Linked DNA regions of Arabidopsis thaliana. The protein of the gene in region 1 interacts with the protein of each later gene in a pairwise test. Each region holds a gene or a part of one and is shown on either strand. Other genes may lie near its edges.

What was found. Proteins that work in one complex are often made in the same cells at the same time.
Region 2: the proteins of AT1G64620 (region 1) and UNE12 interact in a two-hybrid assay, tested with the Arabidopsis thaliana proteins (one study listed by BioGRID).

What each region holds. Positions count from the first base shown.
Region 1 is NC_003070.9:24,003,050-24,011,483, forward strand, and holds AT1G64620 (Dof-type zinc finger DNA-binding family protein), read left to right. Parts: upstream 1-3,863; 5' UTR 3,864-4,238; coding exon 4,239-4,262; intron 4,263-4,376; coding exon 4,377-5,411; 3' UTR 5,412-6,366; downstream 6,367-8,434. UniProt on the Arabidopsis thaliana protein: Transcription factor that binds specifically to a 5'-AA[AG]G-3' consensus core sequence.
Region 2 is NC_003075.7:1,135,115-1,142,269, reverse strand, and holds UNE12 (basic helix-loop-helix (bHLH) DNA-binding superfamily protein), read left to right. Parts: upstream 1-1,729; 5' UTR 1,730-1,963; coding exon 1,964-2,326; intron 2,327-2,730; coding exon 2,731-2,853; intron 2,854-3,017; coding exon 3,018-3,083; intron 3,084-3,169; coding exon 3,170-3,235; intron 3,236-3,909; coding exon 3,910-3,990; intron 3,991-4,068; coding exon 4,069-4,302; 3' UTR 4,303-4,783; downstream 4,784-7,155. Other genes in the region: AT4G02580 (NADH-ubiquinone oxidoreductase 24 kDa subunit), read right to left, coding at 5,364-5,471, 5,661-5,726, 5,843-5,920, 6,033-6,079, 6,171-6,276, 6,366-6,443, 6,578-6,694. UniProt on the Arabidopsis thaliana protein: Required for ovule fertilization.

The DNA.
Region 1 (8,434 bases):
AATTGGTGAGAGGAGTCATAGAAGAAGAGTCAGTCGTGTGTTCAATCCTCGTGGCCGTGGGTGTTGAGGTTCCTCACTCTCCACATGATATCACGTTTCTCGTGGTGCGGAGAGACAGACGTGAAAAGAACGTTGTTTGAGCTTTTGCTTTTCTTAAAAGGAGCTAAATAATTGTTGGGCTTTCTAAATTCCAAAAAGTCAGCCACTCGTGAAAACTCTTAAATGGGCTCTCACTAGGTAGCCTCGTAGCTCAGTTGTGAAGAAACCCAACAAAAAACCTGTGTATACTAATTTATTTCGAGCAAGCGGAGTTATGTTACCAACTGAATCATTCTAATTTGAGAATTTCTAACCATTTAACCAACCAAGGAGATGAACATGAGCCAAGACCACATGTTAGGATTCCACATTAGCAATTTCACAAGTGACATGAAGTAACAACTGATATATACGTAATTCATCTATTTGTCGTCAATTGTGATAATTAAAAACCCATAAAACTTAATACAATATTAAAGTTTTGATTCACTGATCCAAATAAAATGGTCGAAATATAGTTAAGGGATTTGGTTTGAGATGCACCGAAAATAGTAATCATTTCGAAGATGTTTGTTAAATTCTATATTGGACGTTTGAAAACAACTTATAAGGTTAGACTTTTTGTTTGACAAGTTGTTTATGAATTAAGTAAGTTTATTAAATTCAAACTACTTTTTCAAAAGAAAACAAATTATTGCATTCAAACTAACTCTGAAATTAAGTTTGAAAACCAAAATTTAACAAAAAAATAAGTTTGAAACCCAACAAATTATGCATTAGAGAATTTTATTATTGATTTCATATGCTAAGGTTGGAAGACTATGCGGTCAAAACCCTACCACTAGGTCTTTATTTCTACCCTATTTGCACTGACCCTACAACAGTACCAATTTCATTTTATAGGACGATGAACTGGATGATAACTAACCAATTGTCCAACTGATGTGTGGTCCAATTCTCAACGATGGGTCGCCCTATATTCTCGGGGGTTGACGTAAATCAGTTCCATATTACACAATCTTACCATTTGAAAATCACCAATACGTAAATCATTTTATTTAAGAACAACAACAAAGACAGAAGGTTTTGGTTGGACATTTGGGTCAATAAGTCATGCTTTATATTGTAGAATAAGAATAGTAAGTAAATTGCTCATGTTTCTGCGATCCATATTTAACAAATTATTCTAGTCATTTATTTATTTTAAGTTATATCTTTAGGAGTACGAAATTTGTTTACACATTTTAAAAAGGTAATAGTATTTTAGATTTTGAATCATAGATATAGAAAATGATACAAAATTTTGTTTTACCTGGATCACCATTTTTAAATGGACGGCCACCATATTAGACATCAAATGCCCATTTATCTAAGAGCCATATTGGTTGTCTTGGTCCCAAAAACCTAGATTTCTAAATAATAATGGATTCTATAGATACCAAAGCAAGTGTCCATTTACACTAGCTTGTAGCTTCGCTTAATTTAGTTGCTATATATGTCCACATCATTCGCATATGCTATCTGACACATAAAATAAATGTAATTTAGTATATTTAGTTCATATTTGATTAATTTCGGTTACAATTTTCATATTGTACTCTATTAAAATTCTAATAATTGATATTTTTTTTGTACAAAGGTTAAATTAATAATTGATATTTTGTAGGTATAAGTGAAGCTTTTCTTGTTAACATGCGTTTAAGATGGTTAATAGTTTTTTTTGACATGTAAACAATCGATCATATGGATCGTTCTTAAAAGATTTTTATGTTTTTTTTACTTGAGATGCTTAACACACTTACCATGCATGTGAGATGTGTCATGCATATTAGGTATTTAGAGCAAATCCAGTAGTGGTTTCTAAGCAAAATTTCTAACCTATAATAATAATAATAAAATAATAAATAATATTATTTAATTAAGATAGTTTTTAAGGAAATGTGAGAGAGTTTCTAATTCAAGAGATTTTGAATACTCTTCTACCTATTTTAAGAAACTTTTCAAATTAAATAATATTATTTCTTATTTTATTATTACTTTAGTAGATTAGAAACTATGGTTAGAAACCACCATTGGACATGCTTAGGTTAAACTTGAATTTCAATCATTTTCCGGATCTGTAAAGAATATGATATTACTACTCTTAAACAATTATCAAGGGTATTAAATTGGAATTTTATTATCAATCGAATTCGTGGAATATTTGTCACGTTTAATCAAAAAGTCACTTATGTAAAGCGTTTGCATGGTAACTGTCGCATTTTAAGCAAATTAAAACACTATTGATGCATATGGAGGATATAAAGTCATTGATTAATTATGTGTTTTTTTTTTTTGGTATCAAGATTAATTATGTGTTATACTAATGATATCTAACATGTATTCAAGGAAGAATTGTGGATACAGAAAACTGAAGTATATAATTTGCGTGGGGGAATTTATATTGGGCACACTTGAACAGCATTTGTGAAAATTCTTGACGTTAAAGGAAAATGAAAAATGTGTGTGTTCGTTTACATAAATACAAAAAATAAAGGTGCTCTATATCCTAATACAAAACCTAGGGGGTAGAAGCTGAGGTGGATCGCAATAGAAGAAGATGGTCGGCTCTCACTCTCGAGATCGGACGGCTGAGAAGAGAAGAGAAGAGAAGAGAAGGAGAGGATGCGTTTCTTACGGGGAGAGAGAAATAAGGCCAAACAGGTAGAGCCCACAAGATGACTAATCTCCACCGTCCAACTCAAAAACAACATCAACAACAACACATCACACCAAATATTATTCGGTTTCTCTCTTCAGGTCCGACTCAATACTGTCATACACCACATCCACTACTCTACTACTACAGACTTTTTGGTGCTCTTCCCCCTGTGGAGTCCAAATCCTTTGACACGTGTCGTTTTCTCAAGAGATTCACTGTCCCACTCTCTGCGTGATTCCCCCCCACATCTGACGGCTGCAGTTCGCCGCCGGTCTACTCATCCGTCAAACGCCGGTTACTGCTCAGACTTTGGTTTGATCAAAATAAATAAAAAAAGATCAACGGCTGGAAGAGGAAGTAGAGGTTGAATCTGGACCCTTAGATTTATATATACTAAAAAAAGGTATTTGGGTCTTCATGTCAGTAGAGGCGTTTCTCTTGCTTGTTTAACACAACACTCCCCCACTCTTCACATTTCTTCTATTTTCTTCTAATTTCTACATCTCATCACATGTAGCACACAAAGTCACAAACACTTGTACTGGAAATGATTGAAAGAGAAATATGTCTTATATTTGCGGATATATAAATGTGCTTTCACTTCAATATCATTTAAAAAAAAAAAAAACTCTAATTTTCTCTGCTAATTGTTACGTTTGTAAATATATTTTTTAATAGAAAATAACTATGAAAAATCCGAGTGCAACTATAGATTGTAGATAAAAGGGACAAAAGTTGAAAGGAAGTGGAAGCAGCAAAAGATGTTTCAATGGATAGGGGAGTCATGACGTGACTAATACACTTCTTTTTATAAAATGTACTATACATTAGTACTAAATACAGTATTGTACAAATATTCCCGTAAAAACAGTTTTAATTTTTAATCAAAAACAACTATCAAATATGGATAAATTAGCGTCCATAGTTAAACAAAAAATGCTACCCTAGCTAAAATCTCCATTTCTTAGAAAAGAAAAAAAATTCTATAATATATAATACCTCAAATGAAAAATGACACATTGTACACGTTCATCAAATGGGAATAGTATTAGTACTAGTAACCTAAAGATTTGGTAAGAATTAAGAACAAACAAAAACTAGAGAAGAGAGAGATATGTAAGAAGAAACACATGAATAATGGGACAATTTTATTATTAGAATTAAGAGATAAATGAAAAAGATTCGTGGGACGGCGGGCGCATAGTTCAGAGTGTGTCAGAGTCAGACCAAACCCTTTCTCTTATCTCTCTCTCTTACGAAGAATCCATCAAAAATCCCACATACACACAATATACGTGTATCTATATATTCCTTCAAATAAAAGTGACAGTTTTTTAAGAAATATAATTAAATTGTTTAAATTCTCTTTTTTCGTCTTCTTCTTGCTTTTTCAAAAACCAGCTTTACCTTTCCACACACACTTCTTCGTTTCTCTCTCTCTCTTTCTCCTTAGCTTCCTCTTCAAGTTTTTTTTGATCAGCTGCAAATTTCCATAGCCATGGACACTGCTAAATGGCCTCAGGTATACTTATCTTCACTACTTTCCTCCTTCATCAAAAAAAGATTCTGGTTTTGTATTAAAAAGTTTCCATTGTATGCTTTGTGTTTGTTCTTGCCAAAATAAAAAATAAAAAAGGAGTTTGTTGTGAAGCCAATGAACGAGATCGTGACAAACACATGCCTAAAACAACAGTCGAATCCTCCTTCTCCTGCTACTCCTGTGGAAAGGAAGGCAAGACCGGAGAAAGACCAGGCTTTGAACTGTCCAAGATGCAACTCCTTAAACACCAAGTTCTGTTACTACAACAACTACAGCCTGACGCAGCCCAGGTACTTTTGTAAAGACTGCAGGAGGTATTGGACCGCAGGTGGTTCCCTCAGGAACATCCCCGTCGGTGGCGGCGTCCGCAAGAACAAGAGATCTTCTTCCAATTCCTCTTCCTCTTCACCCTCTTCGTCTTCTTCTTCAAAGAAACCTCTTTTTGCCAACAACAACACGCCTACGCCTCCTCTTCCTCATCTTAACCCTAAGATTGGTGAAGCAGCCGCTACTAAAGTTCAAGACTTGACGTTTTCTCAAGGGTTTGGGAACGCCCACGAGGTTAAAGATCTCAACTTGGCGTTTTCTCAAGGGTTTGGGATCGGTCACAATCATCACAGTAGTATCCCAGAGTTTCTGCAAGTAGTACCCAGCAGCAGTATGAAGAACAACCCACTGGTCTCAACTTCCTCGTCTTTGGAGCTTTTAGGGATCTCTAGTTCCTCTGCTTCCTCTAACTCACGCCCTGCTTTCATGTCTTATCCAAATGTTCATGATTCATCGGTCTACACAGCATCCGGGTTTGGTCTGAGTTACCCACAGTTTCAAGAGTTCATGAGACCAGCTTTGGGATTCTCTCTTGATGGTGGGGATCCTCTACGTCAAGAAGAGGGGTCCAGTGGCACTAATAATGGAAGGCCGTTGCTGCCATTTGAGAGCCTCCTCAAACTTCCAGTTTCATCATCAAGCACCAATAGTGGTGGGAATGGCAATCTGAAAGAGAATAATGATGAGCATAGTGATCATGAACATGAGAAAGAAGAAGGAGAAGCTGACCAATCTGTTGGGTTTTGGAGTGGCATGTTAAGTGCTGGTGCTTCTGCTGCTGCATCTGGTGGTTCATGGCAATAATTTTAGTCATGGACCCCATCCCATGAGAGTTTTTAGAAGAAATGATTACATTTTTCACCCATGTTTTAAAAAGATGAGAGGGTTAACTATATAATCTGGGTGCTTACTATTTTAGTCCTTTTCCTTTGGTTTCCTTCTCCTTTTCTAAAAATTATTATTAACTTTGTTGGGTTGGGGATGGATACTGTATGTATTTAGACTCTCTTTTAAATCAATCTCAGTTGTTAGTTACCTAACTTTATGACATCTTTCCATTAATCTTGATATATTTATGGTGTATATATTAGTGTCACAAACGAAACAATTTTAGTTAGTGTAAAGGCCGGTGTACCAAATTCAGAGGTGTAGAGAGAAATGGTCATTGTCCTCTTTGAGACATAAAGCCTGTCATCTCAATATGCTAGTGTATACTTTCGCTAAACCCGAAACCCATTTAATTCCGATATTAATCACATGTGTACACTTTATTTATACTTACAAAAATTCTACTAAAACCCTTGTAGTGAAGAATATCAAGAGAAAAGACTCTCGTTATGAAATCGTTTTGGTTCTTTGTTTGTTTAGGAACACTTGAAAGGGGAAAGGATGATTGAGTCGAAGCGGGTTTGAAGAGAAAGAGAGACCACAAAACACAGTCAGTTTCTTAAGGCACTTTTTCATTCAAATGCAAAAGTATAAAATAAAATTTTACTCATAGAAAAATGGACCTACCCCCAACATTCCTCTTGGACTTCGTACCATCATCATTGCTCCAACAACTCTCTCGCACAGAAGATCAATACTACAACACATGTTTGTTGGGTGTTAAGCATATGAAGAGAGAGAGAGAGGGTTATGATGGTAAAGTGGCAGATGATGAGTTTGGTTTAGTTAAAGAATTCAGCTTATAACCATTTTATCTTAGGTGTTATAAAAAGAGAGAGATATGAACATGTGAACTAATAGTGGACAATTTAAAGCCCGTTTTGTTTGTAGTCGCATTCCAAAAGTCATCGTTACCTTTTGAGTCTCTGTGGGCAAATGGCAATCTAGCTCGTAGATTTAGTTGCTGTTGCAATTGACTCTCCAACAACACTTCTCATTTGATTCATACCTTTTGTTTTCACATTTATATAATTCACAACTAACCAACTAGGACAAATTTATTAATTCCGAACCAGAACAGTGTCAAATGTAATCAACAATACTAGTCAGTTTGGAATTCACTTTGTTTGCTCGATTATTAACAACAATATAGATTCATTTTCAATTGGATATTTACAAGTACAAAAATTCTGCTGACATAAAAGAAAAGACCGATTGGAGTGCTGTTTTGTTTAGTCAAGGAAAAAGAGTCACATCAAACATGGCACACTTGGTCAGCAATGACACCACACACAACAAATCATCCTTCTTTTTCGTTTTCTGTCTTTTCACATAACAACAGTAAGTAACAATCCAAAACTGACAATGTCGACTGTATATATATTATATTATAGGATTTAGAAAGAAAAAAACCTTAACCTCGGGTTTAAACTTAAGAAGATGATCTGTTTTTTGGGCAAAAGAAGATAACAAAACTGGCTTGTGTTCTTTTAGCCAACTTGTGATATTGACCATTTCAAGAAGAGCAGTTTAGACATATACCAAATCTCATTAGCGTAATTTCATTGTTCTGCATTGATTCCAAAGATACGAACCTTGTGCATGTGCGGGAACTTTGCAAATTGCAACCACCATATAAATACAGCGAGCGTGTTGAGAAACATCATCGGATGTTGATAGTACATCGTATGAGATGCTATCAAGTACCTAGTACATGCAAAGTCAGAACATTTCATTCATAAGATTCTCACTTCTCACCAAGAATATATCCAAACTTACTTATATATATATATATATATATATATATATATATATATATATATATATATATATTGTCCCACTACACAACAGAAAACGACTAAGATTTCATATTCATTACAACAACTAAGAGCTTTCTAGTAGTCTTTCTATACTTGTCTGAAGAATTCATATACGGAATATACTAGTCTTTCTAAGATTTCATATTCATTACAACAACTAAGAGCTAAACCCAAGCAGAGAACTGCCAAACAGATATAACATGCATAAAGTTTTTCAATGATACACAACTACTGTATAGAATGTATAGGGGTTATATGAATTTCTTCAAAAAGGAATGAGAAACACAACTGACTCTAAACTCTCTCTACCAAGAACCAAGGAACATGCAAATTTCAATCTCAAAAAAGAGACAAAATGGGAATAAGAGAAGGACATTGCTTCTTTGAACATTAGAAATACATAAGGCTTATGCAAATGGTAGTCACATAATGTTTCAGATCAGCAAATTGAAGAGGGACACATAATACACAAACAGTATAAATAAGCAAAATGGCAATAATCAATTCTCCTCCCTCTGTTTCCTTCTCTCATCATGATACTCATAATAATCAATTCTCCTTCGTTTCTGTCTCTCTCTATTCAAAGAAGGATTATAATTATAGACGTATATCGAATCTTCTTCTATCTGGGCTAGAGCCCGATTGGGCTCATAAAAGCCCATCATCATTCTATCTTACCAAGCCCAGAAGAAACAAACTGTGAGCTCTCGCCCCGCCGTTTGAGATTTAAAAAGGTAGCATAGTGAGTGAGTGAGTGACACTGTTTAAGTAGTACTAATTTAAAAGGCACAAAAAAAAAGGACAAGTGAGAATCTGACAGGTGATGGGTGTGTTTTGCTTCCTTCTTACCCGACCACCCAAAGCCCTCATAATCAACATGTGTCATCATCACCAGCTGCCTATCCATTCATCTTCCTCCACGTGTCTTGTCTTGCTGACGCATCAAGAATCTTTCCTCCTCGAGTCCTCGTCCCTCGTGAAAACAGGCAGGTCCCGCGCTTTTTCTGGGCACACAAACCCTATATTTCTTCTTCTTCTTGATTAAAGAATTTCAAAATGACCATACCTCCACATGTTTAGAGCAGGATAACTAATCCAAAAAGATTATACACTCAATTG
Region 2 (7,155 bases), on another chromosome or scaffold:
TGTAAATTACCCTTTTAAAATCCCTTGTAAATCTTATAAAACCCCTATAAAATCCCTTGTAAATCTTTTAAAACTCTTTTAAAATCCCTTGTAAATCTATTTCCCGCCAAAAAAAAAAAATTGGCGGGAAAAATATGTTTGAAAACAAATTTTGGCGGGAAATTTATTTTGGAATATTTTTGGCGAAAAAATATTAATTTTTCATTTTGTTAACCTAAAACAATTTCCAAATAAGGGTAAAATGGTCATTAAAAATTTAAAGAGGGTAGAAATAAAATTGGATAAAACAAAAGGGTAAAGTTGAAAAAGGGCATCATGAAAAGGGCATTAGAAAAAAAAATTCTTAAAGGGATAATAATTAATATATTAAACTATTAAGTTGATTAACTGATTTTTTTTGTGTTAATATATTATCAAAACAAAACTTGTTTTTTTTTTTTTTTTTTTTTCATCCAAAACAAAACTTGTTTTATTTATTGATTTTTGTAAATAACTGTTTTTCTTAGCTTTTATTACTTCTTATGTTGGATGTTCGTGTTTGGTCTGAGAATTACCTCCTTAAGCACAAGTTGTTCCTTTATAAATGAGCTCCATTTAGGCATAATGATGTGAACCCTTTAGTTTTTGTTGGTGTAGACTCAAATTAGAGAGAGGAGTCGCTGAGATTGATAAGCTAGCAAACAGAATCTTCCATATCGACAAGCTTGGGAATCAACCTGAATTGTGATAGAAGAGAGAAAACATTTTCTAGGAAACTAAATTGTCTCTTTTGAATTTGAAATACTTTATTTGGAGCTTGTTTGCTTAGCGCATATCTCGAATTTGATTATATCTCGCAAGATAATTATGTGACGTTTTTGAATTATGTAAACATCTCAATAAGTGATATAGGAAAATTTAACTTACAAACAGAAAAATAAGCGATTTTTTCAATACATTCTAATAGTTGAATACATTAATTAGAATTAGGAGGGATACAATAATAGATAACTACAATTCATTCGTCATGTTCTAAAAATAGAGAGCAATAAGTACGACGGACAGTACCGTCACTACTTGGCGTCATGGTAGATAGGTAGTGGATCTGCTAGATATATGAGAACGGAAAGAACCAGAAGCTATTAGAGGCGGGAGGAGATATGTGGGGATGATTTCAGTGCAATTCCACGACGCACCATTTCCACTTTCGTAACACCTAAACGACCGCTTCGGCCGTATAAAATCGCAAATGTTTGGTCTCAGTGTATTTTTCCAATTTCCAAATACATCAATTCAAATTATATAATATCTAGTGGCAATTATAAGTATATCATATATTTTCAAAATTAATTAAAAAGATTACTAAATTATGTTTGACTACAACTATTATAATAGTTAAAAACATAAACAAAAACAAAGAAACTATTTTAATAAAAAAATCAAGTAAACATTAAAACATAAGCAAAAAATAATGTTAAAGAAATTATTAATTATTAATTTACTAATAATTAATACCTCTATAAATTAATTGTTAGAGGTTTAACGTAATTTATAAGGAAAACTAAAGAAGACTTTAACCCATAAAGAAAAAAACAAAGACTGAATTGAAGGCCCATATTTAGAAGAAGAGAAAGAAGACCCAAATATGATATAAAATCCAGCCCATTTATATATTTTTATTTTGTTTCTGGAAGGAAAATAAGAAAATGGCAAAAACGAAATAATCTGAAAAAGTAAGGTCTTTTACCAAAAAGGATATTTTTTTTATAAACAGAGCATAAAGTTTTCACTTTTCTTCTGCTCCTTTCTCGTCTCTGTCTTCTTCGTCCTCATTCGTTTTAAAGCATCAAAATTTCATCAACCCAAAATAGATTAAAAAAATCTGTAGCTTTCGCATGTAAATCTCTCTTTGAAGGTTCCTAACTCGTTAATCGTAACTCACAGTGACTCGTTCGAGTCAAAGTCTCTGTCTTTAGCTCAAACCATGGCTAGTAACAACCCTCACGACAACCTTTCTGACCAAACTCCTTCTGATGATTTCTTCGAGCAAATCCTCGGCCTTCCTAACTTCTCAGCCTCTTCTGCCGCCGGTTTATCTGGAGTTGACGGAGGATTAGGTGGTGGAGCACCGCCTATGATGCTGCAGTTGGGTTCCGGAGAAGAAGGAAGTCACATGGGTGGCTTAGGAGGAAGTGGACCAACTGGGTTTCACAATCAGATGTTTCCTTTGGGGTTAAGTCTTGATCAAGGGAAAGGACCTGGGTTTCTTAGACCTGAAGGAGGACATGGAAGTGGGAAAAGATTCTCAGATGATGTTGTTGATAATCGATGTTCTTCTATGAAACCTGTAAGTTCTGTTCTTGCTTTGGTGTTTGATTATTAGAAATGGGAAGAAATCGAATTTGAGGGTTTTGAAGAGAACATTTTTGGTAACTTTTGTTTTAGTTTTTGATTTGTGGTAAGTAACTTTAACAAAGTTGATGATTTGCGTTATGTGCTTTATTTTGGCTCAGACTTGTTGAATCTAATCGATTTTGGTTTGTTTAGTAAACTAAGGTTAGCTCTTGTTACTCTATGAGCAACTTCTCACTAGTTCATGTAGCTGCGTGGCTTATCTTGCCTTCTAAGTTGGTCAAATGAGTAATCTTAAGGGTCTAACTTAAATTATTCTCTTACAACTAATGGAGTCAAATCCTTGTGCAAATGGTTTATTTTCGTTTGGTCTTATTTCTTCTGTGTGTTGTCTGGAAGGTTTTCCACGGGCAGCCTATGCAACAGCCACCTCCATCGGCCCCACATCAGCCTACTTCAATCCGTCCCAGGGTTCGAGCTAGGCGTGGTCAGGCTACTGATCCACATAGCATCGCTGAGCGGGTATATTTCAGATTCTCTTTTGTATTTCCCTGTGATATACTATGTTGGTGGCGAGTTGGTTGTAGTTGAAAATATGTTTCGGATATAAAAAAATGTTAACATTGTGTAATGATCTCTTGATTTTATGGAGGGATTACCTAAAAGTTTGTTTTACTTTACCACAGCTACGTAGAGAAAGAATAGCAGAACGGATCAGGGCGCTGCAGGAACTTGTACCTACTGTGAACAAGGTCTGTACCTTTCACCCTAACCCTCACCTGTATATAATTTCTCTAGAAAGTTTGACACTTTCTGTTTCTCCCGTCTTCGTGTGCAGACCGATAGAGCTGCTATGATCGATGAGATTGTCGATTATGTAAAGTTTCTCAGGCTCCAAGTCAAGGTATATTCTTCTCTCTTCTGCAGTTTTAAACTCGAACTCTCTTTCTTGTGAATTATCTTATTACTCCCTATGCAATATGTTTAATCTGTTTGTTCATAAGATTAGAGATCTAAAGATCATGTCTTTCAAATTCTCTGGATGGATTTTTGGTGTTAATTCTGGTCCCACCATTACCTACCCTTCAACCAAATTTCAATCTGATTAGATCAGTTATTTAATGTGGGAAAGAATAAACAAGTCCAAAATGCTTTTGTTTTCTTTGGCATTTAGTCTCTTTTCACTTTTTGTTTTGTCATAGGGAGCCTAATCACAGTTTATGATTATAATACCATATTCAACAATAATTACAATCATCATGTTCACATTATAATATAGTAATCTGGTAGATCATCAAATGCTTCTTATATCAAAATGCAGTCGGTTACTTAAAGCTCTCGCAAGCGAAAAAAGGAAGTCTCTTTACTTTATAAGATAATGGAGACACTAAAGAAACAGAATGCAATGATGGATTTCTGATAAGATAATACATCTTTTGTTTTAAAAATAGAAAATGTGTTTCTTGTGAAATCTTCCATGCTCATCTAAAAGTAAAAGCTTTTTTTATATATATAATTTTCATGGGGTGAAGCTTATCACTTTCAATGATATCTGTTTCTCTTTGTCAACTTTGGTAGGTTTTGAGCATGAGCCGACTTGGTGGAGCCGGTGCGGTTGCTCCACTTGTTACTGATATGCCTCTTTCATCATCAGTTGAGGTAAAAACTTTTTAAGAACAAAAAGTAAAAACTTTAGTAATGGGGTTTTGATTCAGATTTTGCTTAAAATGTCAATAGGATGAAACGGGTGAGGGTGGAAGGACTCCGCAACCAGCGTGGGAGAAATGGTCTAACGATGGGACTGAACGTCAAGTGGCTAAACTGATGGAAGAGAACGTTGGAGCCGCGATGCAGCTTCTTCAATCAAAGGCTCTTTGTATGATGCCAATCTCATTGGCAATGGCAATTTACCATTCTCAACCTCCGGATACATCTTCAGTGGTCAAGCCTGAGAACAATCCTCCACAGTAGGATTTCTGCAATAAAGAGTTTGTACAGCTAATCCAACTGTCCAACATGGGTTTTTCTTCTGCTCTAATGACTCTGGTTTCTTCTCTCCTCTCTCACCCACTTGAAAGGTAAAAAAGTGAAAAAGGCTTTGTAGATGGAATCAATGTAGGATTTGCAGTAGAGGGAAAAAAAATGTCAAAAAGCTCAATTGATCAAGTATTATTGTAATCATTGTACCTTTATTTTAGGTGGACTTTGATGAAAGCAACTTTTTGTTTTCAAGACTTTAGTGGGAGGTTGAGGAAGGAGCTTGAAGGGTGTTATTTATTAGTAGTAGTAGTAGTGGGAAGTTGTGGGACCTTGTTGAGTTGTGTTCAAATTGAAGAAAAAACAAGTATTTGTAATTTGTCACCCCTTGTATTATTATTTATTTTGTATGACTTTGGAGTAGTATAATTAATTATCAAATAATATTATTAGTTTGATCTAGTAACCATCCTTTGTTTGATAACACTAGAAACATAAAGCAAATATTTTAGGAGAAAGTACCATGAATTGTGCTTCTTTTTTTTAGTGGTACGTGTACAATTTTAACTTCCAAATCTCAAATGCTAAGATATATACACTTTGGACAGAACATGTATCAATTTAAACTTGCATGTTTACATTTTGCATTGATTAGTGAAGACAAAATACAACTTTTATTAATATTGTTAGTTTTGGAAAAATATAGCCAAAAAAAAAACTCATCGAAGAATTAAAGTTATTGATATGATTATTTCATGTGATTCATTAAATCATTCTGCCAAATTTATTTTTTGAGTAAAGTTTGGAAAATCTTGTGTCTTTTGAAGTAACAGATAAAAGTTTTGTTTTTATTACAATTTCACATGAATCTTAGAGTGAGATAATAATAAACGAAGATGATTTGGCAATTTGTTTAAAATGGGTCTAAATTCCAAAACCAAGAAGACTACAAAGAGTATGCAAACTCAATTTGATGCGGTACAGGCGTCAAACATACATCGCTATAGCCTTTGCGTTATTGAACCACATAAAACTGCGGCAAACAGAACTTAGCTTTAGCATGCATCAAGATCACGGAATTGTGGTGGCTTAGGCTCACCAAGCAGTGTCTTATTCCCTCCTTCTGGTCCACACTTGATCCTCTTCGGGTTCTGAGTTCCATGCTGAAAAACAAAGATTAACATTATAAGAAGTTGGATTTGGATTTTGGATTTGGATTTTGGCTTAGAGGCTACGTTCTCCAATTTGGAAAGTTAACCGAAACCAGATTGTTTTCCCCCACCGATGTAATGCAATAGTAAGAGAAGAACATCAGGAAAGTATCCAAATGCAATGGGTTGTTAATGTCTTACCGGTGGCTTTTCTCCTTTTCTCAGCTTTTCAACAATTTCTACGACTTTCTCAGGTGTAACATCTTCCTGTGTATTGTAGCATAAGACAGTGTAAGTATGATTTCACTCTTCCGACGTAACCCACATAAACAATAGGATAATGCAGGAGAAAAAGAAAAATTGTTCAACGAGATTTGACATACGAAATAGTTATATGTATATCCTTCTGATCCATTGGAATAGTCAGCCACAGTGATCATGGGTGCATTAACACAACATCCCTGTAACAAAACCAAACACATTAGATCTGCATTGAATCTTTTCATGTGAAAGTACTAATCTTGGTTATTGTTCTGCATGGATTAATGAATTGAGGTGACGCAAAATCCATACCATGCACTCCATCTCTCCAACAGAGAACAAACCATCCTTTGTGACCTCTGCACAAAAAACATTAAGACCAAAGATCGTTATGACTGATCATCACCTCCATATGATTTTGGTTATGAAAGGAAGCACATAGAGCTTTACCACCGCGTTTCACTCCCAAATGGTCTAGCAAAGCTGATTCGATGTCTCGTGAACCACGGATCATGCAAGGTGTTGTGCCACAAACTAGAAGGTGATACTTTCCAACCTGTAAGAGCAAAAGAAAAATGAGCCTGCAATGCGTCTTTCATTGAGTACAGTAGAGACTTGAGTTTAGGGGTAGAAAGTACTTCTTACCTTTGCTCTGTTGAACATTGAGTAAAATGTTGCAACCTCATAAACACGGATAGGGGCAACTTCTATAACTTTAGCAACCTGCAAAAGTTTGTTGCATTGTTATGACGGTAAAATCATATCAATGAATGTTGTATTCCAAAAAAGAACTTAAGAAGTACATAAAATTAAGTCTTAACAGAGAAAATCGAACAAAAAAATCTTAGAAGACATACCGCATTCATTGCTGAAACAGGGAGCCAGCCTCCATTCTGCTGTTGTGCAAGATCTAGGAGAGGAATAACTGCGGACTGCTTGTAATTGGATGGATAGTAAGAGAGAATCTCCTTAACCTACACATTTTGGACATAACAATTCAGTAAGTCTGGATGCATGCGGAAATCGATTTCACCGTTAATGCAAGATTACTGTAGCCAGAAATGAAAGATACAGTAAACTGGAACTAAATGCACAAGAAAGTATTAGGATTTAAACTACAATGAAACCGGTTTACTAATTTCTGGACAGTCTTTCTGCCACACTAGCAGATTCAAATCTGTTGGCCATTTGGGTCGTTCACTCTAAGTCTCTCCCTTAAATCAGTTCCAGAATAGCCGATTCTAAATATGTAACAACAAATAAGCAATCAAAAATATCAGAAAATCCCAGTCTTTGTCTTTTAATATCCTTTGGTAGAATGCTAACTAAGAGAACCATAATTCATAATCAGGAGACAGGGACTAGTTATAACTAGGGTCAAACAAAGGGCTAAAGATTAGGGAACGAGGGCTAAAGATTCCAACATTTTCACGAA